4 linked regions of the Lonchura striata genome follow. The protein of the gene in region 4 purifies or fractionates together with the protein of the main gene of each other region. This does not show direct contact. Links are inferred from orthologs where the notes say so. Each region holds a gene or a part of one and is shown on either strand. Other genes may lie near its edges. The genes, in order: CCT8, INTS9, INTS12 and PPP2CA.

Region 1 (7,147 bases), on a different chromosome or scaffold from region 4:
TCCCCTTGATTTGATGAAGTTGTAAACTGTGATGAGGTCTCTCCTCAGTCTTCTCCTTGATGCCCATGTCAACAGAACTAAGAACCTGGGCCATAAAGACGCATAATAAACATTTAAACAGTCACTTTACTGTACTGTGTTAAAAAAAAAAAAAAAGAAAAAAGGAAAAAGGATGCTTAAATACATTATGGATAAAATCTATTTTTGATAAGCAATGAACACCTAGCCTGCAGAGTGACTAAGACAAGCAATACTGATGATAAAAACGAGTTTGGACAATTGTCCTTCAAAAGAAAAAAGGCAGAGATTTGTTTATGGCTAGATTACTGTTTCAAGAACCTTAACCTCAGTACAGGGTTTGAAACGAAAGCTGCCTGATTCTACTGAGTCATGGAATCAATATGGTTGACCTCCAAGATCATTGAGTCCAACATTTGACTGACACCACCATGTCACCTTCAGCTTGGAACTTCAATGTCTGGTGACATCCTTTAGCTAATATCAGTGAGCTTGGGGCTTAACAGCAGGATATCACCTTTTTTGTTGTTGTACTTATTACAACACTGGTACATTCACCTATTTTGAAGGTATATTAGAAAATGTTGTCTGCTCATTCCTTATATGTAAACTGTATTGCACTACTTAAATGATACCTTGGGTTAACTGTCTGTAATGATTATATATATATATATATATATACATCACTTTATTTTTAAAAATAAATAGTACAGTCTTCAACATAACAGGTTTTTTTAGGCAGTGTGTGTGACAGCTATAGTGGGTCTATAAGCTGCACAGATAATTTGGCTTAAGAGATACCAGTTTGACTAACTAGGTGGAGTTGAGACCCATAGCCAATCATGTCAATCAAATCATAATGAGGACAATATGAGAAACAAAATTTTTAGTTACTTGGGGAAGGCCTTTAATATTATTTAGGCAGATAAACAAAGTACTAAACATTGGAAAAACCTCTGTCTCTATCCTGAAGATGTAGTACTGGTTTTGACCAGCCTTAGAAAATTCCAAATTGGGCATCAAAGTCACAATATGACAAAATGAAGAAAGAAGATCACGGATGTCAGTGGCTCAGACACTAGACAGCATAAATTGTGGTCTTGAGCTCAGAATCCTGCCTTTTGAGCTACCTTTTTTTTTTGATTAGTGTTTTCAGAGTTGAAAGAAATGCAAATTGGGTGTAGTAGCAGCTTGTTTCCAGAAGCTGCAGATAGATGTTATTTATTCTACTCTTCATTATTTTGTTTGGGTATTATTTCTTCAGAAGTCTTCATTTATTCAATGCCAAGTTTGCCCCTCTCTTCTGCTGTTTCCTATATTTTCCAATTACAACTTAAAACTCCTATTTCCCTCACTCCTCAGTTTGGTGTTCTCCAAGTTTCCATCAACACATAGGTCCTGGTAAGTCCTTCCCACACGACATGAACAGCTGAACCTTCAGTAGCAGTAGGCATATATTTCCAGGTATTTACAGGCTTCTGTGCACTCTACTGGATAAGAGTTCCCATATGACCAAGCTGAAAACTTAGGAAAAGTATTTCACTAGCCCTTATCTGATGCTGTATTTCATTTCCTCAAGCAAAACAGAACTCACCATCTAGAGGACATGTCATTTTTTCCCAACTAAGATTTTTTCTTATGGCAGCAAAACAGGAATGATCTCAACAATTTTACCATCTCCCATGAAATAAAGGCTCTTGGATTGTATTTTGTTGAGTACCATACCAGTGTCACAACACATGTCTTGATTGTACCTGCAATACAAACTCAATATAAACAGCAGTGATTCCTTTCTCAGACTATCATCCTTTCCAATTTGTTTGTTCTGTGGAAGTTCTGAATTCTTGTCATTTGTGCAGGTAGAACTACAGAATTGTTTAGGTTTCAAATACCATTGTGTCCAACTGATCCCCAGCAGTGCCACACCCACCACTGAACCATGTCCCTCTGCCTCATTTAAAAGTCTTTTGGACATTTCTATGCTAAGGCAATACTCCTCTAAAGTGCCCAGAAATCCTTTCCTGTGACTCAAGCTAACTGGATTAGCTATAGCAGAGAGAGCATACACTGAGGTAAGAATTCCAAATGGTAAGAAAATCTTGCTTTCCTGTTTAGCTTACAATCCTCTGCACAAGTGAGAGAAGCCCAGGATAAGGGTAGTGTTTAACCCAGGACCTGTAGAGCAATGACCTAAGTAGTACTTAGCTGATTGGACATACTCTAGTTGATTAGTCTGTTCCTTCCCATCATCTTAAAAGTGACTTAAGTGTAATCTGGGGGAAAGCTAAAGTAACTGCTGCTACTGTTACTATTCTGAATTATTCTGAATGTTCAGCACTATGTGGTTCACAATTTTCTGTTTCAGGTTTAAGCATGATTCTCTGCAAACTGAGCATGGCCCTTAGCCTTCCCTCAAGGTGCCACTCACATTTTCACTGGCCAGTATTATTGGTGAAACACAATTGTCCTACTCACACTTCAGCAGATGTCTTCAAACCCTTCTGTTCCATTGCTCAGGTTCCCAGAGCTGAATAAACAAACAAAAATTAACATTCTGCCCTCCTTATGAACTTCCCAAGATCTTGTTAAAATTTTACCCTCCTAGAATTTGAGAAACAAGTTCCTACAGATAAGCCGGGGATTTCCATGTGCACAATTATAGATTTTGGGTGGTGAAAGTGCAGCTAACGGCCAATAGCCAACCCTCTGACCTTTGCATAGTCCTTTAGCATGTCAATGTCTATGCAGAAAATAAATGGATGCATAGCTAAAAAAAGATCAAGACCAAGTCAAAGTTGTGATTAGACAGTGAGTCCCAAAGAAATCCTGGCTGTAACACAAAGAGATGTTTTAGTGTTAATTCAATACAGCTTCATACATAGATATTGTCTATATTCATAGTCACAAGCATACATATATATTATGGTTTTAGTGGTATTCTGGCTTTAAAAAATGCAGGCAACACAAGCTTTGATAAAAGCACTGTGCCAAGAGGGCAGCTCAGAAATCATAGCATTGTAGACTATCCTGAGCTGGGAGGGACCCACAAGGATCACTGAAGTCCAGTCGAGTAAGTGCTGTGGAGGGAGGTATTGTCTGCTATTGGGGGGTTTCTGTGTGGGTTGCTGATTTCCTCAGTCAGAAGCATTGTTGCTGTTAGTGCTTGCTTTCTAAACTCATTGGTGTTTTCAGTAAATTGTTCTTATCTCAACCTGTGATCCTTACGTATTAAGTTGTGAAAAACGCCAGTCACTTGGTTTTTTAAAAATTTAAAAGCTTAATAATAATAAAAAGGTTATAAAAATAGCAATACAATTAGAGTAATGAAATTTAGAGTTAGGACAATTACAAGACAATAAAAAGCAAAGAATTACGGCAGTCTGGATGCTCTTGGACACTAAGTCACGAAAAGCATCCCTTGTGAACAAAGGAATAACCTTAAAAGCAATAGCCTGTTGCTTATTCATCTATCTCATACATGATGTATAAATTCCTTGCAAATTAAGAACTTTTCTGTTTTTTGTCAGCTTCTTCTCTTTAATCTTGGTGGTTCCAAAAAGACAGAGAGAAGGTGGAAGAATGTTTGTCTTTCCTGATAAGGAGGCTGTAACTTTTTATGGGCCCCCTTCGCTGACATCTCTGTGTGAAGAGTTTCTTGATCATCTCATCTTCTCGCTTGAGCTTGTGACAAATCTTATATCGCAGAATTTCTGTTTTAACATTATGTTGTAACCTAAAAACCGTATTTAACACAGTACTTAAGAGAATTAATACAGCATAACTTTCTAACACTACACACATAATACTCATTGTAACATTTGCGAAAAGCCAATCATAAAATACGCATTTTCCAACAAAGTGAAACGCTCGCCTAGAGCCTGCTCAGCTTATGACGTTTATCATCGGTGGCCATGAAAAAACCGGCGCTTTTCCTGGAAAAGGAAGCGCCGGGAACACGGAAAGAGAGAGGGAGCGAAGGCTCGAGCCCGGCGCCGCCCGCCCTGAGGGGCGGCGCGAACCCGGCGCGGCCGCCCCGCGCATGCGCAGTCCCCCGCGCCTGCGCAGCTCCCGCCGTGCCCCGCGCGCTCCCGCCCCGCGCCTGCGCAGCTCCCGCCGTGCCCCGCGCGCTCCCGCCCCGCGCGCTCCCGCCCCGCGCCCGCGCAGCTCCCGCCGTGCCCCGCGCGCTCCCGCCGCCGCAGCCCCGCACCGAGCGGAGATGGCGCTGCACGTCCCCAAGGCCCCGGGCTTCGCCCAGATGCTCAAGGAGGGGGCGAAGGTGAGGCCGGCGTTGGGTGGGTGCGCGGGTATAAGTGGGAGGGGGGTGCGGGAGGAGTCTCAGGGTAGCGGTGCGGCGAAAGGCCCGGAAGGCCGGCGGGGCCTGGCGGCAGCACGTGTCCCGCGGGGCGGGGGCCCGGGGGTTCGCGCAGTGCCCGGCCCGGGGCCGCTCTGTGGCCCCCGCGGGGACCGCCCGGCACACGCGGCCTTCCAGAAACCTCTGCGGGGCCGGGATCCCGCTCCCCGCCCTGCCCTTGGGCCGGGCCCTGCCGCTTCATCCCGCCGCCTCCGGGGATGCGACAGGGCCCGCGTTGTTCCCAGTGAAACGCGAGATTTAATAGGGAGTTTAGAATGATTTAGGCAATGTGAACATATCACATATAGTGAACATATAGTGTATGTTAGGTCGATTCTGTTGCAGATTGGTATAAATGAGAATTTATTCAGCCAGATTAAAAATAAAAATAATTTTATTAGCGGTTAAATTCTATCTAGGCAGCCACAAGGAAAGATCAGAGCCGAGCCCGGGGTCAGCGCTGGGTGTGCAACAAGGAGTCAGCCTCAGCAGAGGTTTTCCCCTGTGCCCACACACCTCCATCCTGGCACAGGCGGGTTTTATAGGGAAAATTCCGCTTGAGGCCAGGATTTCAGCAATCAGTCTTTTCTTCTATTCAGAGTCTATAGGTTAATGAGATTTTCTTTTTTGGTGATGAGGAGGAATAATTCAGTGTCTGGAGTAGGTGAATTCCCGATGAGATTTTACGGGAAGGCTGCATTCACCTGGATCTGTCTGAGGTTTTCCATGATATCCATCTTGGGCCGTTTATGCGATGATCAGCACCTGATGATCAACAAACACCTGCAGTCCCATGGAGTCTGGACATGGCTCATCTCCTGGTCGAGCCACATCCTTTTACTTGTAAATCAGTTTCCAATATACACCCAGTCTCGCCTGCAAAGGTGGGGGGGAACTAATACAAACGGGCATAATCTAACAAGTATCTAATATTACATATTTCATACAAGGAATGGTGCGAATTATATTTACTACACATAACATTATTAAACGTATGCAAAAAGAAGGGGGGCCTCTGATGGAAATTGTTGAGCTTGCTAAAGATGGGAAGCAAAAGGGCGGCTGTGCATCTGAGTTGGAAAGTTCCATAGTGAGGAAGACTATGGAAGCTTCATCTCACCGGACCCCAGGCTCATTTTTGAGACCATTGACTTAATAAAAGAACGAACTACGCAGTCACAGCTAATTTCCATATAATGCAGAGAATAGGTGGGGTTAGTTTCTGGATATGTATAGGTGATATAGAATATGCATGGATTTTGTGTATAAATAAGGGGATTGGGGAAGCTGGGGTACACAGGATTTGGGAAGATTTTGCCCCCCTGCGTGCAGCGCTGAATAAATACCTATCTACTTTACAACCCTTGATTGTGGAGTTATTACTGTGCATCACAAGAGCTCTCACAGGGGCTGGGCAGCAACTGTCAGCCGGGCCCTGTAATTGAAGCAGTTCAGAAGTATCCGGGTCGTTCTGCTTGATTTTTCCTGATACCTTTGGCAGCGATGCAGAACAATGTTTTCTATAGATTTCCTTACCAATAAATCCGGTTTTGTTGTGTTTGATGTTAGCATAATGAAGATTTTGGTAGAAGTGAAGAATTGTATCTTAATAAAGGAAAAGCTTTCTTTGAAAAGTGGGCAGAAAGCAAGCAGGTGTGGGTTTTATTTATTTTTTATTATTTATAGAATCAGCAGAAGACTTTGGCTTGGAAGGGACCTTAAAGATCATTTAGTTCCAAGCCCCATCCAGCCTGGTCTTGGACACTTCCAGGGTTGTGTATCTGCATTTTTTCTGGGAAATCTGTGCCAGAGCCTCACCACTCTTACAGGGAAGAATTTCAGGGATTCCTAACACTTAACAGAAACCTACTCTCATTCAATGTGAAGCCATTGCCCATTGTCTTGTCTCTCCAGGTTCTTGTCCAAAGTCCCTCTCTCCAAGAAAGAGGGAACATAGGAAACTTTTCCATTTGTTGCTACTTAATAGAAAGAAGAGCAAAGGTAGCAGTTCTGAAAGCCCTTTGTGTTTCGTTTTAGAATCCTTCTTGGAGCCAAATAATGGCATACGTTCAGGGCAGGGGCAGAACAGGGAAGCAGCGTGGCCTCAGTGTTAGAAAATTCAAAGCCAGAACAGCAAGAGTTGTCTTCTGCAAAACAAGGGGGCAATCTAAGATGTTTGGCATGAATTTAGAGAGTAAATATTGTTACTTTTCTCCCTTCTCTTATGGACTGCATAGTGCTTTTTATCCTGCTTTTTCTTTCTTAAGGTCCTTTCTAGTGGCCCCATCTTGTCTTAAGGTTTCCAAACTGAAGCCAGGCTGATCGCCTTCTCAAGCACAGATATTTTACTTAATCATTCTGCTTCTGAATTTTCAGATTCAGTTAACTCAGTTCTGTGTTTTGAACAGAGAATGAGTTAAATTATTTTTGTAGCATACAAAGGTGCAAGTAAAGAAACATGTACAGAAACCCTTGCCCCTCTCCAACTGGATCTTGGTTATTTTCTGCTTCTTTTTGGCATGTCACAAAACATTTTGGAAGACTGAGGGGATGCAAATTGTATTGCAAGTCAGGTCACTGTTCAGATTTTCTCTTTAGAAGCTTTTTGTGTCTACTGAGCTACCTAGTTGAGAGGGTGTATGTACTAATTCTCACTGTCTTGGGTAAGGTTTGGTGTCTATTTACACGGTATGTGAAATACCAAATGTATATTAATAAAAGACTTTGAGGGACTCAATGAATTGAGACTGATTTAATGAGATTTTACTAGTTCATTAA
Region 2 (7,737 bases), on a different chromosome or scaffold from region 4:
AAAAAAAACAAAAAAAACTTCAGGCGATAAAGTTTGAAACTGGAGAAAAGAGAAATAATCTCTAGATGTTATTTTTAAAATGTCAAAGCTAGCCAATTAATGAGGGGAGGAAGAAAAACTGATTAAAGCCCTGACAAACCCTTGAGATCACAGACTGATTGCGAGTTCTGCTGCGGACTCCCTGTAGGAACCTGGGCAAGTTGATCCCTCTACACCTTTGTTTGCCACCTGCGAGAGGAAAAATAGCACTTTCTTTTCATATCCTGTCATTCTTGCTTGCATTGTTCCCCAAATTAAAAGCATTTGTCAAAACACTTATCTTTAGCATTAACCCTGGGAATTGCATTCACAGCTACCACACAACCCGTTTGCATGACTGAGTGCTCAGACACAAACTCTTAGTACACTTTGTTACCCAGCCATCCTAATTTAATACAAATCAGAAGGGAGCTTTAGTCAATACAGGAATATTAGAATGCTAAAATATAGTTTATTACTAATCCTACAAATAAAACCAGCTTTAGGGTTACGAGTTACACTGACCCCCTCCTGGAAAAAAAAATCAAATTCTCCTCATTATGTCCTAAAAATCCTGCTGTAATCACAGTATTGGTCTCACTGCATTGATAACCCACCAGATCATATTATCAGCATAGGTATAATTAAAGCCCAATCCCATGAGGACATGTATGCAGAATCCAATCCCCGCTCTGTTAAAATCAGCATAATGTGAAATAAACTTCAGGGACTTTAGAATCAAAGCTGCATGAAGTTATCGACAGGAGGAACAAAGACATCTGTCTTTTTGCAGTGAGATTCTTAAGCTGACATTATTTTGATTTCAAATTCTAAAACTTTGCAGATGAAAAAGATTTGCTACAGATGCCAATACTGTAGCCTGTCATTCTGTAATGTCCTTAAAAGCTCTGCACAGAAATTGCTGTGAAGTACAAGTTGCTTTCTTTAGATTAAAATGTGCTGCTGTTTCCTGAAAATTCATTTGGTTTCTAACATATACAACCAAATACCTTCCCCAATCCCTTGGTACAAGGAACAGTACAGCTTCCTCCTTTCTCATGGTTCAGTTTCATTAATTTTCCCAATTCTCCACCCAAAGACCCAAATTTCACCCCTGCCCCACTGACACACAACACAAAATGAGCAATCCCAAAAGTGAACGACAGAACAATTCTTGACAGTCACGCTTAAAAAAAATACATTTTATTAAAAAGTAAATTAGTATTAAAAACAAATTTCAGAGCCTCACTCTTCCCAAATCCAGACAGCAATGAAAAAACATACCAAACACTCCCATGAACCTATGGATTCATCACTATAAAGTAAACACTTTATAATAATTTAATTTTCAAAACACTGCACAGCTATCAACTTTTAATATCCCTTTGTAAGAGATCAGTAAGACCCACACAGAAACTGCCTTAAAAATAAGCTCCCTGCAGCTGACAGCAGCTACAGACTCCATGGAATTATCAGAATCACAATGCTAGAGAGATGCATGTTGTCCAGAAAGGTCAATAAACCCACGGAGTTTCTTGACACCGCTCAGTGAAGCAGTTGTAGAGAAAACCAGGCCTCATTCACACAAGATTTTCTCCCAGGTTTCCTTACCCCTCCTTAAAAATCCTGCTGTTTCACCTAGGATAGCATTCCTGTAACCCAGCTGGCAGCCTGCATACCACAACGTCGTCTAGACCTGCTGGGAACAGTGGGATGACACAGGAGTAAAAATGCTGATGCCTGTTCTGGTGCTTGCACTGGTGCTGAGGGAACGAGGGGAGGAAGAACAGGCAGCACGGAGTGAAACACAAGTTCCTTGCTCCCAGCCTCCTTCCCAGGCTCCTCGGGTAATTCTTTCAACCAGACAGAAAAAGTTGTGGCCATCACAGGGCTAAAAGAATAATCCTCACATAAGGGAAAAAACATTCCCAAACCCCAGTTTTCACATACAGAAACAAACCCTGCTCTTTCCCAGACATGCAAATAACAAATGCATCCCTGCACAGACGTTTTCCATCCCTTTCCTCCCTCTCCCCCGTCTCCATCTCAGAGATGTTTTCTTAGCAATTTGGAAGAGAAATGGTAAAAAGGGAGATGCGAAACACAGAAATAAATTAAGTTTGTTCTCTGCTGTTGACGGATTTGGTCTTAGCACGATGGGAGGAAAAAAAATATTAGGAGTGATAAATCCATATATACCTACTCCAAACTACACCCTGCTTCCCAAGGGACACGGTATAATGGTAAATAAGTATAGATGCAGTTCCTACTAATGAGGCAGGGTACAGCAAGGCCAAAGAAAATGCAATCATCTCGGGGAAAAAAAAACTGCACAGGACTCCTCCTTTCCCATCCACGGAGGAAATCAAATGCCAGCTGCACCATCCCAGGAAGGAAGCAGAGCCTGTACCTGATGAGCCCTGCAGAAATGAGCGAGTCATATCACGGGACCAGAGCAGGCACTTCAGGCTTTCACCAGCCCAACAATTGTCTGCAGAGCACAATTCCTAGCTCCGGTATTTTACATGGCATCATTTATACAAATTGCAGGGGTATTTTTCCCCAGTGTTTTAGTTTTTCATTCCCTCTATCTCCACTAGTTAGAAGCAGGGGACGTAAGTAGCGTCTCCCAGATCCGCGTTCCCTGGCCATCACTTTAACGCTTTCCTCCCTACAAAGTTTAAATCTCCCCGGTTTTTTGTTCATAAACGTTTTGTACTTAAAAGCCATCGAATCACACTCCCAGAGTTACCTGAACTGAGACAGACCCGACTCCACAAACATGCTTAAACCTTCATTTCCTCTTCCTTCTTCCTTCCCCACCCCCCAAACAGCATTTTTTTTTTGTCCCTAACACGAAAGAACTGGGGGAAAAAACAGCACGTCCAACCGAGGCTTTTCCAGACCTATCTCAAAGAACAAAATGATTCCGAAGGAGTGCTCTGCAAACATACCAAGAGGCACTCCACCAACTAGGGAAAAAAAAAAAAATGAAAGGAAAAAGAAGAAAGAAAGGAAAGAACCCATCAGACAAAACTGAGGTCGAGGAACTCGGCGGGGTCTGGCTCGGGTGTGTATTCGGCACCTAAACATACTCGCATCTTGTTTTGTTTTAACCCCGAAGCTGAGGCAAACACTCCAGCAGAATTTCCTGCCGCTTCCCCCCGACCGCTCCTGCGGTCAAACCGTGCTGACCCAAAACCATCCCGGACACGGGACACAAAACCATTCACCCGCCACCCCCGTTCCCCACCTCTTCCCAAGAAGTACAAAACAAACAAGCGTCTGACACCCCACCCAAGTTCTCCTCGCACATTTTGGGAATGACTTTCCTCCGGGTGCTCCTCCTCCCCCACCCGTTCCCACGTTAAACTCTCCGGCACACAGACACCTTTCGGGGGTTTCACGCCTTTGCCCTCCCAGAAAACCTCCCGAAGCCTGGGAACGGCAGGGTTTGGGGCACCTCTGAGCCCCGTTCCCCGACCTCCAGCGGCACAAAGCTCCCGAAAAGCAGCCGAAAAGGAGCCCCCGGAGCCCTCGAACAGCCCCAGCCAGGGCAGAGCTCCCCGGCAGAGCGAGGGGGCTCCGTAGCCGGCTCCATCCCCGATCGGAGCCTCCCTCCTTCCCCTGCCGTCCCCGGGGGTCCCCGGGACAGACAGCGCCGGGGGTCGCACCAGCTCACCCCAAAACTCCGCGGCGAGCAACACCCGAACAAACACCCCCAAAACCGCAGCACCCACCCAGGCTGAGGGGGCTCCGCGGCCGCCACTCCGTGCCCCACACCGGGGAGATGGGAGGAATCGGAATAGATATACAAATGGCAGGAGCAGCGAACCCCAAAGGCGCCCTGCCCTCCCGCTGCAGCCTCCTGGGGACACCTTCCTCCTCCTCCTCCTCCTCCCCCGATCCGGGGCACCCGCGGAGCCCCCCAAAAGCCGCGGCTCCAACTCTGCCGCCCGTGCTGAGGGGCTGCCCCTGCCCACCCCTGCCCGCCCCCGGCTGCCCCCCTCACGCACATCCCGCTCTCCGGCTCGGCGCGACTCCCGGCGGTGCGGGCGGAGGGGAGACCCCTTCCCGCTGCCCTGCCTCCCTCCAGCCCACCCACCCGCCCGCCCCCTCCCCTCGCCGCCGCCGCCGCTCCCCCCCCGTATCCCCCCGCGACACTCACCTCTGGGTGCTGCCGGCGCCTCCGCCTCACCATGGACCGGCGGAACTGGGGGGGTCCCCCCGCCCGCCCCCGCCCCAGATTGAGGGGAGATTAACGGGGGGCGCGGAGGGACGAGAACAATAGGGGGGAGGAAATCCCTCAGCCCCCCCACGCCCCCCGAGGACACAGCCCCCTCCCCGCCCGGCGCTCCTCCTGCCGCTCCCTCCTCCTCGCCCGCTCCCTCTCTTTTTTTTTGGGCTTTTTTTTTTTTTTTTTTGGCTCAATCACACCAGACCGACTGTCTTTGTCTGTCTGACAAGCGCCATGTTGATATCAACATCCGAGCCCCCACCTGCTGCAGCTGTGAGACCCTGGGACTTGTAGTTCCCCCCTCCCCAGGGTGACGGGGAGACCCGCGGCGCCGGGACTACAACTCCCAGAGAGCCGCGGGCGCGCGGCGCGCCAATGGGGCGGCGGGGCTGCGCTCGGGGCGGACTACAACTCCCAGCAGGCGTCGGGCGGCCATGACGTTATCTGAGAACGATGGGGAGGCGGGACTACAACTCCCATGATGCCCCGGGGCCGGCGGGGCGGGCGGGCAGGAAGGCGGGCAGGGTTGTCCCGGTAAATAGAACCGGTGGACGCGATGAAGCTGGTGAGTGCCCGGGGCGGGCGGCCATGAGGGCGGGGAGGGGGCTCGGCCTTCCCCCGGCGGCGGGGGGGGCGCTCCCCCGGTCGCCTCCTGGCTGCGCAGTCTCAGCCTCGCCGGGCGTGAGGGGAAACTGAGGCGCTGGAGTGGGGCCTGAGGGAAAAGGTGGGGGAGGAGATGCTGAGGGAGTTGGGGGGACTGAGGGATAAGGGGGTGATAGTGGGGCGGGGAGGGGCTGAGGGAGGGGCGGGGGTCGGCCCTGAGGTGTGGGGGAAGGCGGGGGTCGGCCCTGAGTGGGGAGGGTAAGGGGGGGGGGGGGGCGTTGCCCAAGTTTAAGGTGTTGGATAGGATCAAATCTTAGTAAGAGGAGGAGAAAATGTTTCTCAGCCTTCCCAGCCTTAAACATGAGTCTGGTTCGGAGCTGTCCCCTTGCACGTGTGGCTTCTGCTGGACTCTGCGAGGAACGTGAATAAATGCCTGTGGTTTGTGATGAAGACGTTTTCCATCTGCAGTGTGATAATACAGGGAGGTACTAACGACAACAACAAAAAAAATCAGCCTGGAACAGCTTTGCTAAGGGTGCACCTTGCTTCTGACAGGGGTTTTGGTTCTGATATTACAGTCTTCTGTCAGAATGTACATGACCCATGATATTGGTCTCCTCTCTTGAGCTGTTTCACATTCTTGGAGACCTTGGATTCAGGAGCCGATTTTTTTTCCAGGAAGAATTTCAGTTACACATAATGTGCTGCACTTCTTGGTCTGGAGGTGAAAACCCAAGCAGTTTTCAACATACCTGAGCACAACACTTGATTTATTTAATCTGAAGCGACACCATTACTCAATTTAAGATTGTCTCTTGGTTTTGAGACTGAGCAGTGTGTTATAACAAAGCTTCATAGAAGTAAATGTTCTGGTTTAAGACCTTTAGGAAACCACTCTCCGTGGAAGTGTGTACAATTAATTCCAGAGGCAGGTGGTCAAGGAGTTTGATCCTGCTTAATCTTACCTGTGTGATAAGGATCTGTGCAGGGATGGCTATTACCAGTGGGACAAAAACTGCAAAGTCAAGCACCCCTGGATGTGATTGTAGAGGCTGATAGAATTCAGTGGAAGAAAGCAAACTGGGAAATCTTTATTTAAAGACCCCACTGTAAATGGAGAGCTCTTCTAATGTTGAGAGTCTTGCATAGGGGTAGAGAGGGGAAATACAAACTCTGGAGTCTGTATTGCAACATTTTTAGCATTGTTTTTAAATTCAGGTACTGAGAATTATAAGACAAGGTATTTTACCTTATATTTTTCTGGAGATGTGTCTGAATTTGGGGTTGTGAGGAGACAAGTCCTCTTTTTTATCCTCTCTTTATCCTCTTTTCTCATAGATTTGGGTTGAATTTGGAAGAACAGGGTAGAGGTGAGGGACTAGTGGAATGTTCCCTGTCCATGGCAGAGGGGTTGGGATAAGATGAGCTTCAAGGTCCCTTCTAACCCAAACCATTCTGGGATTCTGATTGCAGATCTGATTCAGAATCTGGTGAAAACCTCAGACTCCCACAAACTCAAATGTGCTTTCACTCAGGCAATCCTCAGTGCTCATTTCCCCCCAGATTTTAAGCTGGCATGTGATACTAATACTGGAGGAATGCACTGCAGGATTTGTTTGCTTCACTTGGAGTTCCAAGCACTGCCTTTAACCTGCACAACTCTGAATGTTTTGGAGCTGCAAGTTTGAGCCACCATCTCTCTGCTCTCCATGAGATGCACATGGAATGGGATGTGTGTGGAGAACCTGCCCCTCCCAGGCCCTGAGCATCTGGAACCAGCCCCTCAACCACTGCCCCACTGCCAAACTTTCATCCAATTTGCAAATCCTGCCAGGAAAGCTGTGAGCTGGGTATATTTATGCCTTTTACGTATTTTGTGTCTTTTTTTAACTTTTGGAGTTAGGAGATGAGGCACCTTTGTGTGTTGGCTGCACCAGCCTTTAGCCATAAGGGAATCAAGCTAGAAGCAAGCAAATCTTGGAATAAAAAACTTGCATTTTAATCCAGTCAGGAATATGAAAGCTCTGGATCTGTTTTAAATAGTAACAAGTATAAACTGTGTGGAAATTATCACATTTATAATGTGTATAGAGACACACATTGTGCAAACACTTCCATTCCTGGATTCCTGATCCAAAAGTCTAACAGGGGTGCAGGCCCAGCAATGTCACTTGTGCAAACAGCTGTATAGAAAATACAAATTGCCTTTTTTATTTTTCTGTCACTGTCTTTGAATCTGGTAGAAAGAATCCATTGACTCCCAGGAATCCATTTGCCTCAGCAGACAGCCACGGAGAGAGATGACTTTAGCTGCTTTTAAAGAAGGAAAAAAGAAAGATTTTCCAGTTAGGTCATAGATGTCAGGGTAGTAATACTACTCATGATTACAAAAAAAGGCAAGAAAATATTTTGCTGATAAAAGTGGTGATATTTCATTGCCTTTTTTAATTACCAATAGTTTAAAAGCTACAAAAATAGAACTTATTTTTCCCTTCATTTCTTTCTATTTACTTCAATTTATAGCTTCATTTGTCAAAGTTCTGGTCTGGTGAGAACTTAATTTCACATGAGAGTGTTACATTTGTGAATAAACCAAGTGAATTCCTCACTCCTTCAGCAGCTTGGCTTTACATATTTTTTTAAACTTTACTAAAAGACAAAATGTAATGTAACTCCTTAATAATTAAGGCTTTGTGAATTTAAAGCAAAACTCTCTGTGATATTTTGAATTTAATATTTGAGGCTTAGTCAGTTTTACTATTTAAATAGAGTTTAAAGCAGGTTTTTGAGGAATGTATGTAAATAGACTTCTTGAGGGTTGTTAATCCAGACAGTTGCAGTCCTGTGTTAACATTATTGTGACCAGAGGTAGAAAATGA
Region 3 (7,920 bases), on a different chromosome or scaffold from region 4:
TCTTATTTTTTTTTTTTCATTCATTTGCCATCTACTGTTTTGCACACCTGCCCATGTATTATCTTATTCATCATGACTTGCAGCTAAATGGATCTACTTCCATTACATTTTCAGATACAGTCATACTTTCAACCATCTGTTTCTGAACTCCTGTTATTATTTTCTGAGGCACGTATACTACTAAAGATGTTTTTCAAAGAAAGTACACATCTTCTATTTATATTGCAATGCTATTAAAGTCTTCTGCTATTATGCCATCCTTTTATAAACTCATCAATATTTTTATTTTTTACTGCCACTTATGATTAAAAGGCCTTTCACTCACATATCCTTTTCAGCGACCTTCAAGATCTGTAGCAGTTACCTTAAAAAAGTCACATGAACGAACAGCTTATATAATTCCTTCCAACACACTCACTGCACTATTTTTCATTTACCACTGTAAAAACAATTCACTTTTCCCTGTCACTTTGGATCCCTCTATTCCTCAGAATTTACCCTCTTCCTGACTACATCTATTAACAGCGACAGTGGCAGATTTTCCTTATTTACCAATAATGCCTCTTCCAGGTCACTTTCAGATCTGATGATTCTGAAGAAAGTAGATCTAGGAAAATCTTAAAAGGAGGAAAAAATTAACTTCTATTTTCAGCTGCTTAACTATCTTAATCAGCACTTGATTTATGACAGGATAATTTCTCAGTTACTTTCCACAAGGGACATTTCAAAACTCACGCACTTCAGTAGTCTGGATAACTGTATTAATGAGAACAATTGTATTAATCCGTTCTAATTTTCTTGTCATTGTCTTCAAAGAATCTTTTGAGACACTTATAAGATCTCCTGCTATGGAGTTACTAGTACTGGCATCCTTAATTTTACATTCTATTCTACAACATATTTTATAATGTTCTTTTAAATTAGTATTCCAATCAATATCACCACAAACAGCTTATCCAATATTTTAAAAATTACATTAATGCCCTATATTTTCTGTTTTCTCCACAAAAACAGTGAATTCTTTCAGGATTACAGAATCATTCCTTGTGGAAGGGACCCCACAATGTCACCCTGTGCAACCTCCTGTTCAATGCAAAGTTGACACTGAATTCAGACCAGTTTGCTCAGGGCTCTTCCAGCTGGATCCTGAAAATCTCCAAAGACACGAATGCAAAAATCCTTCTGGCCAACTTGTCCCAATGCCTCACTGCCTTCATTTCCTTGCTTTGAATTGGAGGTTTTAAGTTGTGCTGTCTCTCATTCTCCCACTATGCATGTGACTATGAAGACTGGCTCTATATCTTTCCAATAATACCCTCAAGAAAATTCAAGCTTCCATTATATCCCCCTAAGCCCGGAGCAGATGGTATCCAACACACCCTCCATCTCCAGATCTAGCTATTTAGTCACAGAGGACATGCCAATTGATCAGGCATGATTTATCCTTGGTAGATCTGGCTCTTCCCAGTTTCTACCTTCTTTTGCCACAAATGGCTTCCTCCACGATCCTTTCACAGGAGGAAGGAATGAGGCTGACCAGTCTGTAGTTCTCTTCTTTGTCTTTCTTGCCCTTTATGAAGATAAGATTTGCCTTTCTCCTGTCTTTGGGATCTCCCCCAGTCTCGTGGCCTTTAAAAGATGACAGAAAGCAGCTTTGTGTAGATGCTGCCAGTTGCTGGCACCCTTTAATGAAGTCTACGTGGGCCTATGGACTTATCAGGGACAATCTGCTTCAATCCTCTTCCACAACTTGTAGTTCCTCCTCTCCTTATGCTCTGCCTTGTGGCAAAAGGCCCTGTGAGACCTTACAGGTCAAGTCTGTGACAAAGAAGACATCAACTGTTTGACCCTTATCTGTGTCTGCTGTCACTAACAAACTTCTTCCATGCAGCAGTGGTGATGTTTCCTTGTAAATCCCTTTCCTGATAAATGGTATGATTCTTGTGAGTGCCTTTCAACTCAGGATATTTTGTGATAATTGCACCTGCACAACTGAGATTTGCTAAGCCCTGCTACCACTGAGCTTCAATATTCTGCAGAAAATGGACCCGAGGATATTTCAACATGCCAGTGCTCATTGGCTTAAAACACTGGCCAATTGAGTACACCTCTCTATCTTTTCATCTTTGCATTATTCAACATCCACACTGAAACTTATCAAGTGTACAAATTCCTGGGTATCATGTCTCAGAGAGAGAAGCAAGCTTTAGTCAAAAATGAATTTCTGAAGCAGTTACGCCAAAGCCACGACGTGACCCTCCGCAATCTACTCGCTGCAAATTTCTCCCTGGGATTTCTTTTTACCAACGAAGGGAAGGCCTCTCATCTGAGAGCAACACTTTAGAATGCTTAAAAGAATAAAATGCCATCCTCCTACAACCATTATTGCCCCACAGGGCACCCAAAGCTCACCCGGGCCCGAGGGGAAGAGCGGCCGGGTGTGCCTAAGGGCTCCCCCTTCCTCCCTCCTGCCAACATCCTATTTCTCCCATCCATGCTCACCCCCACTGTCCTCTGCCAACCCCATTTTTCTCCTCCCAAATGCCTCTTGCCGCTACCAAACCTGCTCTTCCTCCCCTCTCCTAAATTCTTTTTCTCCTCCCCAGACCCCTCTGCTCTCTCGCCATCTCCCTCCTCCTGCCCGTTCCCAAACCCCCTTTGCCTCCTCCTAAATCCCTCTTCCCCTCCCAACCCCAAAATTCCCTCTTCCTGTTGCCAAACCCCCTCTTCCCTCTCTCAACTCCCCTCTGCCTTCATCCTCCCAGTCGTTCTCTGCCCCCTCCCAGTCTCCCTCTTCCTTCCCCCTTCCCACTCCAAATTTCCTCTTCCCGATCCTCTCGAGTTCCCTCTCCGCGCCCGCTGGTGTCTCACCGGAGACGAGGAGGAGGAGGAGGAGGAGGAGGAGGAGGAGGAGGAGGAGGAGGAGGAGGAGGAGGAGGAGGAAGGCTCCCCGGCAGGTCCGGCGGCACGGCAGTCCCCGCGCAGCAGTTCCGGGCGGCGCAGGAAGAGGCGGAGCCGGGACGGAAGCGGCCGGGCCGGGTAAGGGCAGGGAGCGGGGAACGGGCAGGATGGAGGGAACGTGGCGCTGCCGGAGCCCCGGGGCTGCTTTGGCAGCGCTGCACCGACAGCAGCTGCGAGCAGAGCTTTAGGGAGCGGGGCTGCAGGGAGCTGTGCTGCGGGAGCCCAGGCGTGTGCTGCCGTCCTGAATCCCGGCTCTGTCCCTGTGTCCCGGTTCTGTCCCCGAGTCCCGGCTCTGTCCCCGTATCCCGGCTCTGTCCCCGTGTCCCGGCTCTGTCCCCGTGTCCCGGCTCTGGCCCCCGCATCCCGGCTCTCCCCGTGTCCCGGCTCTGTCCCCGCATCCCGGCTCTCCCCGTGTCCCGGCTCTGTCCCCGTATCCCGGCTCTGTCCCCCATATCCCGGCTCTGTCCCCCGCATCCCGGCTCTGTCCCCGCGTCCCGGCTCTCCCCGTGTCCCGGCTCTGTCCCCGCATCCCGGCTCTCCCCGTATCCCGGCTCTGTCCCCGTATCCCGGCTCTGTCCCCCATATCCCGGCTCTGTCCCCCGCATCCCGGCTCTGTCCCCGCGTCCCGGCTCTGTCCCCGCGTCCCGGCTCTGTCCCCGCGTCCCGGCTCTGTCCCCCGCATCCCGGCTCTGTCCCCGCGTCCCGGCTCTGTCCCCCGCATCCTGGCTCTGTCTCCGCATCCCGGCTCTGACCCCGCGTCCCGGCTCTGTCCCCGTGTCCCGGCCCTGTCCCCGTGTCCCGGCTCTGTCCCCCGTGTCCCGGCTCTGTCCCCGTGTCCCGGCTCTGTCCCCCGTGTCCCGGCTCTGTCCCCCGTGTCCCGGCTCTGTTCCCCGCGTCCCGGCTCTGTTCCCCGCGTCCCGGCTCTGTCCCCGTGTCCCGGCCCTGTCCCCGTGTCCCGGCTCTGTCCCTGTGTCCCGGCTCTGTCCCCGTGTCCCCGCGTCCCGGCTCTGTCCCCGTGTCCCGGCCCTGTCCCCGAGTCCCGCCCGCATTTGGCTCTCCAGAACCGACCACAGCTTTCTGTTCCTTCGCAGGCCCGCCTGCAGCTCGGGTCCGAAGCTGTTCTGTTTCCCCCTTCTGAGCAGGGCTGGCCCCGAACGCGTGCAGTAAATGGGTCGTCTTGGATAGAAATACAGCTCCAGGCTCTCAAGTGACGTGCCTTAAAGCACAAATAATGCTTCGCACCAAGTTAAATGTTTGCCGCGTTAAGTGGCATTATATTAAGCGTTTCTCAAATGCTAACGCGCCTGCTTTACAGAAGTTCCGTTTTACTGTGTAGAAACCAACAAATGAATAGGATCTTTTTGATCTTTTTCCTTTCAAAAGGAAGAGGATGTTTATGTATTTATTTGTCTTTAATTTTTATGGGAAACACTTGTTTTTAAAGCAGTGTTTTTCTTTATTACGTTGTTAACAGGGCAACTGAGTGGACCTAATTTAACTGTGGTTTAGAGCATGTTGAAAGGGAGGAGAAAATGGTAAAAACAGCGCAGCTAGTGAAACTTACATTTACATATTATTTGTAATTTTAAAGTAGGTGTCTTTTATACCAAAGGTAGGCAATGTTATTTATCTTTGTCATTTAAGTTACAGTGCAAATTGTAACATTGAACATTGCTTTTCATTTTCTCTCTTTCAAACAGTGTCTACTGTAAATACGGCCAATAGAATAAAAATCCATCTCTTCCCACAGAATTTACAGCCTAATTAGAGAAAAAAGTGCTGGGAAAAAATACTGTGAGCAAACAGTACAATGTCTTACTAGGTTTGGTTAGTTCTGTATTGCACATTTCATTTTATTGTGTATGTCTACGTCTGCTTTTCTCTCAGTAAGTTGCCAAGGGATTAATAAACACATGTAATGGATAGGTAGTAGTTTTGTGAAAAGATTTAAGTGAGAATGGGCAACCATTTAGGCTGTTAAGTTTTTGAATTGAAAATATGTGCATAAGTCCACAAGGAATATAGATTCTGTCTAACCAAACAGTGTGGAAGAGCACCAGTATTCGAAACAAAAAATATAGGAGGTGACCTTATAACGTCAGTGCTTAGAGACAAAATGTTGAGAGGAATTATCCAAAAATATGGGAGAGGGGTTGGGTGTGGCAGTATAAGGGTATGCAGCTCAGTTGAAGTGATGATTCAAGAAGGCCTTTCTTCTTACAGGAAACAATGAGGAAACAGAGGTAAAGTCACTTATAGACAGAACTCCTGGACACATTATTTTAGCTTCTCTTCTCTGAGAGATTTGAGAATACAGTTAGCCTGACTGTAATTTTCATTGTCGCAGACTGACCTTAAAAACCCCCAAAATCTCACAGCCAACCAAACAACAAAGCCTTTAAGGAAAAATGTCCAAATTTTTGGCTTGCACTAGGACAGACTTCCAGTGTGACACTGAGCTATAAATTCTCTTTGTGCTTTTGCTTTTTCACGTGTAACAGGAACACGGGAAACTTTAACCTTGCAAGGCTCTCTGAGAAAGAAGTCTGTTCAGTGTGGTGGAGAAACATAGACATTTTTGCAATAACTAACAATTCAAATAAATCCAGACTGAATGTGTTGATATTCTAATGACCTGTATATCAAGTTGCAGTCATTATGGAAGCCCAGTTTGTTAAAATTACTTGTAAGAAGTTTTTAAAAATAAATTTTAACAACAGGTGATTAATAGATGGGAACTATAGAATAATATACTTTGGAAATAGAAACCTTGTCAGAGTTTACCAAAATATTTAGTAGTTTTGCATAGCATGAGAATGACCAAAATAGCTGATTGAGTCCAGGAACATCAACTAGAATAAAAAAATTGAGTGATCAGGTGAATGTGTTTATCTGAGTGGTTTGCGTGCTGAGCAAAAGATGGACTTGTGAGTTCTTTGAGTTCACATGGAGAACAAAAATATTAACCAAAATGCATACAAGAGTACTTTTTAATATTGCAAGAGGTACTGTAGTTGAGGATAGGAGTTTAAATACTAGAAGCTATGGGTATGACTACGGTAGCAATAACTCTCTCTGATTTACCTCTCTGGCTGTGCCTTCACTGGATGATTTCTGCCACAGAGGTGTACTTAGGATATAGGCTCTGTCTCAGATTCCATGTTGTCAAGATTTATCCAAATAAAATATCTTGTGGTAAAGTAGGTATGGCATTGTGTACTGTCCTGTTCTTTGTGTGGCAGTGTATTAATTAAAGAAAAGCAGCAGTACTCGTAGCAGAGACACTTTTTTTGTCATTTAGTGGTTTAAAAATGTTTCACTATAACAGACATCAGTATTCTTAATGTCAGGTAGACTTGATTTTATTCTTCCACTCCCCCCTTTTGGGCAATTGTTTTGGCCCTCTGGTAGGTAATATGAAATAGTAAGTGTGATGTTCATGTCTACATGGAAAAAAATAAATTGAATAATCAAGATGTATGAAATTAAAACTTTTTTAAAAAATACTTGTATCATGCGTGTAATTGTCAAAGACCTCATTAATCTAGACAGTGTTGTTCTAGTGCCATTCATGCTTTATATATATGTGTATAAAACCCTATTCTGGCGTTTCTCAGCAGCGTTGGGGTTTCTCTTCCTCGCTGCGCTGTTGCTGTGCCCGTGTCACTTGTGCCGCGAGGGCCATCTAGTGTCTGAGGCTTTCCGGTGCCACCTGTCATCTCAGGTAATGGGCAGTTCTGCTGAGCGATGGAGTAGAAAAATTACTGCTTCAGCGCCTTGTGTTAAACTCCCGTGGAATACTGTAGTAGGAAAAATGTAGCTTGCAACCCACTGTAAGGAAAATTAATGTGAGTTTTTAATATACTGAGAAGATATTAATTTCAGCTTTGCTATTGTTGAATTTGACTGCGTTAAAGTAGTTGTGTGTTTAAGGTGTTCATGTAGTATCATGAGATGAATGTTTATTTGCTTATGTTATTATCTCACCCAGCTCTGGATTAATTTTTAATACAAAAACCAATATTATTTCCCTAAATAGGCCTAAATACCTACTCTAAATGCCATTTAGCAGTTACAAAAAGACAGATGTTTGTATTAGAGAACTGACTGTTGTAGATATGTGCTCAGGAAATGTTTTTTTTTTAAATAATGCATGGTTAATATTGTGGAAGATTTTAATGTAAAAAACCCAACTTGCTTTAAAATGTTTATGTACTTAAAAATTGAAAATGAAACATTTTTTTTAGGTTTTGGTTGGTGTCAGAAATACGCTAAAGTGTAAAAAAAAATTACAGAGGTAATTTTCCTATTCCTGATCTTATATGTGAAGAGACAGTGTAGATGTGAAAGCATTCTTTTCCCTTAACTAAGGGCCTGCCAATTATTGATGCAGGATGTCTTTAGTAGTGTCTTATGTTAAAATCAGTTGTAGCAGATAGTGGAAGAACCAGTGCTCTAATTTTTTTTTTCTTTTCTTTTTTCTATTCTGTATTCTTTTATGGATGTCGTACTCTGATTTCTATTTCAGGAACTTCATCTCAGGAAGAAGATGAAAGATAATGTCGCTGAAGAACATTTATATTTGGCTTTTTCTCATCAGTACAGAGATAGTATCTTTCCTCTTCATACATCTATCTCACTGTTTTTGCTATCCTATTGTGACTGCAAATTATTTAAAGTTTTTTTAGTGCCAACTGGCGAAGATGTGGGTGATCAGTGTGTGACAAAAAGCCTCGCTGGTGATCTTGAGGTCCACTTAATCTCCAGATGTCAGCTTCCAGTGGTTGTGCAGAGCTGCACTTTGCCTGCTGTTGTCGTGAAAGATGACAAATTCTGCAGAGCTGGGCTTTCTGTGGTCTTAAGACATATAATACAGAAAACATTTGAGGCAGATCCATCTAAAAAGGATGTTTTGGAACTCTTGGGCTTTAAGAAGACCTGCTTAAAAGCCTGTGCTGA
Region 4 (7,720 bases):
AATGGCCAGTAGAAAACCTCTCACCTGGCAATAAAGGACTTCCTTTCACCTCTGCCAATAAACAATTCAGCACTAACAGGACAAACACTGCTGACATGTAACAGTAACTGGACTGGGTATATTTTGACCACTTCTTTAGAACTTGCATTTCTCAAATGCTGAAGCAAAACACACACAATCGGCTACTCAACTGATGTAACATTAAACACGCAGCACGTACTAAGCCTAGAATTATTTAACTGCCACTCAGAGGTTGATTATTTCAAATCATTTGTGAAAGTATAATGTATTATTCATGGTTACAAATTACTTCTAGACTTCAAAGATGTTTCTGCCCAGTTCCCACCACCACCATCACCCAGGTAACCAGGTTCAGTGGAAGACACACCAAGAAAGTAACTGGGATGCACAAATGGCCACAATTATTATGTTTATAAAAACCTGTTAATTTCTTCAGTTATCAATACTGAAATACGAGAGAGCCCTTAGGCTTATTCTCATTAGAGAGGCACCAGTCTGCACACAGGAAGCCCCAGCAGATCAAGAAATACTTGTCAGGGAGATCATCCAATCAAAAAGTGTTATCAGGAAAAGCCCTCTTTTTTTTATATATTGTTTATTTTAACTAGCCCCAGTTGTAATTCAATATGGTGAAGAACAACACTCTATACCTAAGTAGCGTCTTTATCTGTGCTTTGGAACAATAGCTGCATTTGACACTGTCCATAAGCTATTCATGAAAACCAGCCTTTTGATGTGATTATATGCACAAAACTACTTAAATAGCCCAAACAAAGAACAATCCAGTGAGATTTCTGAAAGTCAGTGCTGGGAACATGGAAACACATTAAAGCAAGTGCTGTCCATCAGAACAAAGGTGCCGAACTGAGCTCTCATCCCACCTCCATGAACACAGTGGAGAAAAGAAGATGGTAAACTCAGAGTTCAAGGGCCTACTTCCAACTCCTTCCATCAGCAACCATGAACAAACTTAACTACTCTTAGCATAAAGTCCAAGTAAATCCACCTGTAGTTATCAGCAACAAATCAACTTTCCCTAACATCACCAGCCCGGTGGCTGAACTCTGCACAGTGCTGACCACACACTGGGCACACAGAGAGAACTGCTACCCCACCCAGAGCTCCCCTAGAGCCAGCCCAGCCAACGTGAAGGCTGCTGCCAAAGAACATTGCGATTGGCAGATTTCTCTTCCAGTTTCATGGTCTCTCATCTCAACACACAGAAGCAGACACCAAGTTTTCTTTGCTTTTTTCCTTTACCATCATCCTGGTGATGAGCATTGCACATTTATCCATAAATGCAGCTCATTTCCATTCTTCACTGGGAAAAAATGATAATGTCATCTTGTGCAACACTGATGACTGGGACTGTATCTTCTGAAAGGAATGTCTTGTGGTATGCCTGCTTCTCACTGAACCAAACCCCCAGTACATCAAAAACTTTTTGTACATTATACATCCCTCATGGTCCTGCAAGTTACCACAGAACCCCACAAAATGGGGCCATATGCACCCACTCCTGTGGGATTCAGGACTCAGTACCCATCAGTTTATAAACGATGGTAAGTGAAATACTTGCCTCTCACAGAAAGCAATACAAGGAAGCAGCTGGACCGCCGTCATTGGAGACGCACATGGAAATAGCCAGGCGGTGACACTGCCACTCGCTTGCAACAGCCTTTAAAACACACAGCCTGGACCAAATGGAAACTGTTGAGTTGCTGGAATACAAGTGAACTAAAATCTGTACTGGAGCAAGAGCTGGTCTGGCCAAAATCACTGCAAGTTCTTTATTAAGTTCATGGACAGTGATCTCAAATCAATTTGCTTCCAAAACAACCTGGTGTAGTATGTGAAAACATGATTCCAATATTAAAATATTCTAGGTACTTTCTGTGGCATGTACATAAGCTTCTTTAGAAGCCAGTACATCCATCACTTCATATATTCCTTAATATCCAGTTCCCAAAAAATTTATAAATATACCATCTTTCAGTCTAGAAATACTTAAAATCATCAGTAATTAAAAAAAAAAAACCAAAAAAACCACCACCACCACTCCTCAACTATTACGTTACATCCAGAATCAGAATTCGACTGGAAAATGCCTCTGGATTATATCAAAACAAAATTTTCCTGCATTTCCAAAATGCAATCTGTCCTAGGTTGGCTTTACAACCTTTCTAAGCTATGAATGTCTCAATCAACACATTGCCCTGTAATATCCACGTCTCAAACCATCACCATGAAATACGAAATTATATTGGAACTCGAATGTTTATTCTGTGAATTTCGTGAAACCCAGAACCCTACTGAGGGAAACCAAAACCCCAAAGCTAATCTACCCTTCAATTAGTTATAAACGTGTCTGCGCTTATTCATATAATGAAAAATACAAGAAAAAAATCAAAGCAAGCAGCTCTTTACCGCGTGTAATTTCCAAGCGCCTACCACAAGCTTTTATTTTCATTTTACTAACTCACGCTTTTGGGGGCTGATTTAGTGCTTTAACCGGGGGGGTCTCTCGGGGGTCTCTCCCGAGGATCCATCGCGGCCGCGGCGCCATTTTAGGAGGCGCTGAGCGGGCGGGAGGCGGAGCCGAGGCTCCGGCACAGCCGAGGGGCCGCGGCTCGCCCGGCCCCGGCTCCCGGCCCGCTCCCCCCGCCGGGCCCCGGCCCCGGCCCGCCCGGCCGAGCGGCACCGGCACCGCCCCTGCCCGCAGCTCCCTGCCCGGGCCCGCCGCCTCCCCGCCGCCCCTCGCCGCTCACCTTCTCGCAGAGGCTCTTCACCTGCCCCTCGGACAGCTGCTTGCACTCGTTGAGCTGCTCCACCCACTGGTCGAGCTCCTTGGTGAAGACCTTCTCCTCCATCCCGCTCTCCCCCTCCTCCTCCTCCTCCTCCTCACCGGCTGCTGCTGCCGCACCGCCCCGCGGGCCCCTGCGATCCGCGCTCCCCACAGCGGCGGCGGCGGCCGCGACGCGTCAGGGCGGGCGGGCGGGCGCGGGGAGAGGGCGGCCCGGGGCGCTCCGGCTGCGGCAGCGCTGCCGCTCCTCGCTCCGCACCGTGTAATGGCCGCCGCTGCTGACGTCACCGCCCCGGCCCCGCCGCGGGGAGGGGGACGCCGCGGGAGCCGACGGCGCGTGCGCGGCGCCGGGCGGGGCCGCGAGTGCGCTCTGAGGGGAGGGGGCGGTGAGGGCGGTGAGCGCGCCCCGGGAGCGGCGGGAGGTTGTTCTCCGTCCCGGTTCTCCTCCGTCTCGGTTCTCGTTCTCCTTCCCGGGTTTGCTCCTGCGCCCCCGGGGGCTGGCCCTCTCCCCACGGAAGGGTCCGTTTGAGGGGCGCGGCGGGAGCCAGGGCACTGCCGTGAGGGGTCGCCGGCATGGCGGTGCCGGCCCCTCCCGTGCGCGGGTGCTGCGCGCCGGCTCCTCCCGGGGCGCAGGCCGGGCAGGGCCCTCGGCTGCCAAGCGCCTGCTGCCGGGTCGGGAGACGATGTTGGCGAGCGTTTTGTGCGGCACTGTTTGTGGTTCTCCCTGCAATTAATGCATCTAGGTATCTCCGAGGCGGGTGCCGAGAGACAGGACAGGAGCGCTCCCCGTGAACTAAACACAGAAAGTTTCACTTCCACACGGGAAAGAACTTTATGCTGTGTGTAGCAGAGCACCGGAACGGGCTGCCCGGGGAGGACGTGGAGTCTTCTCTGGAAGCTTTCAAAACCGCCCTGGACACGTTCCTGTGTCCCCTGCTCCAGGTGACCGGCCCTGGCCGAGGGTCGGACTGGCTGATCTCCGTTCCGACCCGAACAATTCTTGCTGTTGGCTACTCTGCAATTAAGCTTTCAGTTCTAAATCATGAGCATTGAATACTATCTTAATTGTACCACCAGGTAGTGCTTAGGTTAAAAAGGCTGTGCTGCATTTCTTTAAAACAATTTATACTGAAAGAGTTCTTGGAAGTCCAGCGTTTATAATGACCTTTTTAGACAGCATCTATGAATGAACTGCAGTGTAAGTGTTCAGTAAAGGAAATTAGTGGTAGACCTTTCAGGAAACTTTCAGGAAGGTGGTATTTTTTCAGGAAACTAGCGGTGACCTTAGCTACCTTATTGTACTCAGACACTTGCTACCTAAGGGAAAATATTTCAGTAAGACACAGATAAATTGCAATTAAAAAGAATGTAGGAAATAGGCAGAACCAATTTCTAATGAATTATGTATTTTATTGCAATCTGCATCTTAAATTATAGAGGAAGATTCACCTAAATAACTTACAAAAGGCATGAAAATATCAGTTTAATATTTTTTCACTTAAATGGGTCAAAATGTTGATAAAATCTTGATTTCCTAATTTCAAGAGGGCACAATGACTTTTCCTAGTTAATTTGTGTTAATTGTCTTGGTCATCACTTGCGTAGTATGGAGTCTGACTTGTTAAATTCTTTGCCTATTATTGAAGGAAATTAAGAATTCCATAGTGAGCAAGGGGTAAGGAATGTTTGCTTTCATGGGTCAGTCTCGGTTTCTTGGTGTCATACTCTCCTGCTAGACATCAGTTGGTTTGAATTGCCTCACTTAGGTTTTGTTTATCTTCCAAAATAATTTTGCTGTTCTCACATAGGTTGCCATCTTCAGATGACCTTAGTTTTGTGCTTAAAGTTGTAGAAGGAAAAGTACCATTCATTGAGAAGTGATAGGTTTCAAGAATTCACTCTGCAGCACATTTTCCCAAAATAGTCTTGAGCAAAATATATGCAAAGAATATGAAACAATAACATCAACTCTTGTGTAATTTGCCAAGTTAAAGTTCATTTTCTTTAATAACTGTTGACTTTCTGGCATAATTACATATTTGAGGATCACACTTCAAACCATCTACACGAGCTGTGCTTTCCTCTCACCTACCAGATAAAACATGGCAGGATTTCAGTTGCAGTTTTGTAGGCAAACAAGCCAAGTTAATAGTTTCTTCCTGCTAGTGTGGACCAGGCTGGACGCCTCACAGATTAACAATCACTGCTGTCTTCAGAGCACTTGTGATGGTTCCCAGGAGCGTAGTGGTAAAGAAAGGAACACTTGAAAAGGCTCAGTGATACAGCTCTTTTTTAGAGAAACTCCACTTGGGAAGGGGTAGATGATTCAGCACTCCCTGATTGTCGCTGAAAGCTGAAGCTGTGCCACTCACTACAGGAGAATTCAGGACTCTGCAAAGGAAATTCAGGATTCATTTATCTGGACACACAGAGAAGGGGAAACCTTTGGTTTCCATCTCCATTCCAAGCATTATTTTATCCTCATACTGTATTTTATCCTCCTACTCTTTTGAATTGTCTATATGTGGATCAGAAATCAGATCTCCTTCCTCCCTCTGACTTGAGAATGACAATCATTTGTTTAGAGAATCACAGTTGCTTTTCTCTTAGATATTTATCTGAGCCTTCAGAGGAGAATCTAATTATGAAAGGATACGTGCTGTGTTGCATAAGTTGGGTGTTTGTCAGGGCTTCAGATACACAGTAAGATTAAACTGTAACCTGTGAGATGGCAGTAATAAATCGTATTTAGTATGTGAATATATGCCTGGCATGTGAGTAGTTTGTACCTAAGGAGCTGCCTGGGTGTGGCTGCCCCAGTGAGTCAGGGCTATGGAGGCCACACTCGTGTGCTGACACCTGAGTCAGGGACCAATGTGTCACATGTGTGACATTCTGGAGAGAGGTGAACTGGTCAGGCTGACTGCACTTTTGTTTACACACATCCAGCTGTAGGTTATTCAGCTGTTAGCCTATAGTGCCAACTAATTCTCTACTAGTCTGAAATTAATCTGAAACTCATGGATGAGGGTGTTAGCAACTGCAATAATCTCATCTGTAACACCAACATTTCCATTGTACTATGAGACATCAGTGTTTAAATGCAGATTTATGTAGATTTATATTGCACCGTCCAACTATACAACGTATTGTCAACTTAGCATTGTAGAGTAAGGAACACGTAAATTAGTTCCTTCACACCTGACTCTCTCTTTGAATATTTTAGTGATTCTAAATTATCCATCAATGCACGTCCAGAATGTCTGTTGCTATGGTTTTTTAATACTAAATGCAGAATTAAGGCTATGCAATACAATATAAAGACTATACTGTACAATTTAAAGGCTATACAATGGTGTAACAATGAGCTGCCACGTTTAGATGTAGACCTGCCAACTTTGATTAAGACATGTATTTCTGCAAGCAAAGAATATAGACACTGGTACATTAGTGTGGAAGTCAACTGCCTCTAGGAGGAAAGGGACTTCTGATCAAATAAATTCAGAAGTACACATCATGAAATCTCTTGCATATTCAGATACTGTCCACTGCTGAATAAAATATATGTTTTGTGTCTTAATAGTCTCATTAAATCAGATAAACCTGTCATCTTAAAGATGCAAAAGACCAAAAGAAAAGCAGAACACTTTTACATCAGATATTTATTACATCATTACAAGCAAATACTATTTTTGTATATTTGACTAATTTCAGAGTCCAGATAGTACACAAAATCAGTGACATCAATAATACCACTGTGAACAGTGGCCCACTCACTTCAACAGAATGGCTTCTGTAAAAGATAGAATCTCATTATTAATCACCTTGCATGCCACAAAACATATTGCTGAAATCTGCTAGTTCATCATTCACGCTTGTGTGGTAGATAAAGCAGGAAGTGCAGTGTCTTACTGAAAGAAGAAATTACAGAGTAACCATGAAAATCACATTTTCAAATCACTATGGTTACAGATATTTCACAGTCAAGAGTCTTCTAAAAGCTAGGAATAGAGTGCTGATTCTCCAATGTTAGGGGCTTAATATTTCCCAAGTATTTTTTTTTCCTGCTCTCGTCTCATGACTGTGGCACTGAACTCTCTGTGTCCAGCCTGGCTGGGTAGGAGCACTGGAGCAGCGGGTACATCCTTGTGCACCTGAGTGCAGGGCCACGTTCCTCCTACTATCATCTACCAGTTTTAATCTCTAGAATACTGGACAAACACCACCTCAGCCAGGACAAATACTATCACTTTATCGCCAGATGGACAAATACATGATTTCAGCCCGATGAGGAAACAGATACTGAAATTAGCTCACTTTCCAAACATGACAGAAGCACTGAGAGTCTCGAGTAGAGACCCCAGTTCAAAAGATACTTGGGCCCATCCTTAAATTCCTTCCTTTTAAACAGATAACATAAGCATCTGTGAAATGTCCTGCTAAGCTCATGCTGGGAGGTTTCAGGCTCGCTGATTGCTGGTGTAAGGCTTGGATCAGCACAGCTTGTGTTACAAGTGCTTTCTTTGGAAAAACTCCTATTATTCAGTCCTTTCCATAAGCTATGTTTAAGTGCACAACAAATTATTAATACGTACAAGCAGTTGTCATGGCGATAATGTGATCCCAAGTGCGTTTTTTGTAAGAGGCACAAACCTGGCACATCCCACATGCCTTGTATGGACAATTCCTACATAAGGTTTCCTGTGTTAGATATGGGATAGATACATATCTTTGCTTATTATGCCAATACCCAGTGGAGAAACCACTGCTTCTGGCTTTCAGATAGCTGGTTTTAGGAATATGAAAAATGTAGGACTTGTAAGATGTGGGGGGTTTTAAGCTGCAACATATTAAAAAGGGACTGAACAAGTAATTTCTGTGAAATCTCAAACACAA

The links.
Region 1: the proteins of PPP2CA (region 4) and CCT8 purify together in Homo sapiens (affinity purification with mass spectrometry; 4 studies listed by BioGRID and IntAct, with this or other methods). This does not show direct contact. The link is inferred for Lonchura striata from reciprocal best matches to the Homo sapiens genes PPP2CA and CCT8.
Region 2: the proteins of PPP2CA (region 4) and INTS9 purify together in Homo sapiens (affinity purification with mass spectrometry; 3 studies listed by BioGRID and IntAct, with this or other methods). This does not show direct contact. The link is inferred for Lonchura striata from reciprocal best matches to the Homo sapiens genes PPP2CA and INTS9.
Region 3: the proteins of PPP2CA (region 4) and INTS12 purify together in Homo sapiens (affinity purification with mass spectrometry; 4 studies listed by BioGRID and IntAct, with this or other methods). This does not show direct contact. The link is inferred for Lonchura striata from reciprocal best matches to the Homo sapiens genes PPP2CA and INTS12.

What each region holds. Positions count from the first base shown.
Region 1 is NC_134604.1:4,124,587-4,131,733, reverse strand, and holds the start of CCT8 (T-complex protein 1 subunit theta), read left to right. Parts: upstream 1-4,138; 5' UTR 4,139-4,234; coding exon 4,235-4,294; intron 4,295-7,147. UniProt on the Homo sapiens protein: Component of the chaperonin-containing T-complex (TRiC), a molecular chaperone complex that assists the folding of actin, tubulin and other proteins upon ATP hydrolysis.
Region 2 is NC_134605.1:111,908,579-111,916,315, forward strand, and holds the start of INTS9 (integrator complex subunit 9), read left to right. Parts: upstream 1-4,719; 5' UTR 4,720-4,811; coding exon 4,812-4,820; intron 4,821-7,737. UniProt on the Homo sapiens protein: Component of the integrator complex, a multiprotein complex that terminates RNA polymerase II (Pol II) transcription in the promoter-proximal region of genes.
Region 3 is NC_134606.1:47,849,061-47,856,980, reverse strand, and holds the start of INTS12 (integrator complex subunit 12), read right to left. Parts: upstream 3,002-7,920; 5' UTR 2,872-3,001; intron 2,862-2,871; exon of another isoform or gene 2,413-2,861; intron 2,393-2,412; exon of another isoform or gene 1,476-2,392; intron 1-1,475. Other genes in the region: GSTCD (glutathione S-transferase C-terminal domain-containing protein), read left to right, coding at 6,437-6,685, 7,490-7,920. UniProt on the Homo sapiens protein: Component of the integrator complex, a multiprotein complex that terminates RNA polymerase II (Pol II) transcription in the promoter-proximal region of genes.
Region 4 is NC_134617.1:9,548,289-9,556,008, reverse strand, and holds the start of PPP2CA (serine/threonine-protein phosphatase 2A catalytic subunit alpha isoform), read right to left. Parts: upstream 3,010-7,720; 5' UTR 2,892-3,009; coding exon 2,790-2,891; intron 1-2,789. UniProt on the Homo sapiens protein: Catalytic subunit of protein phosphatase 2A (PP2A), a serine/threonine phosphatase involved in the regulation of a wide variety of enzymes, signal transduction pathways, and cellular events.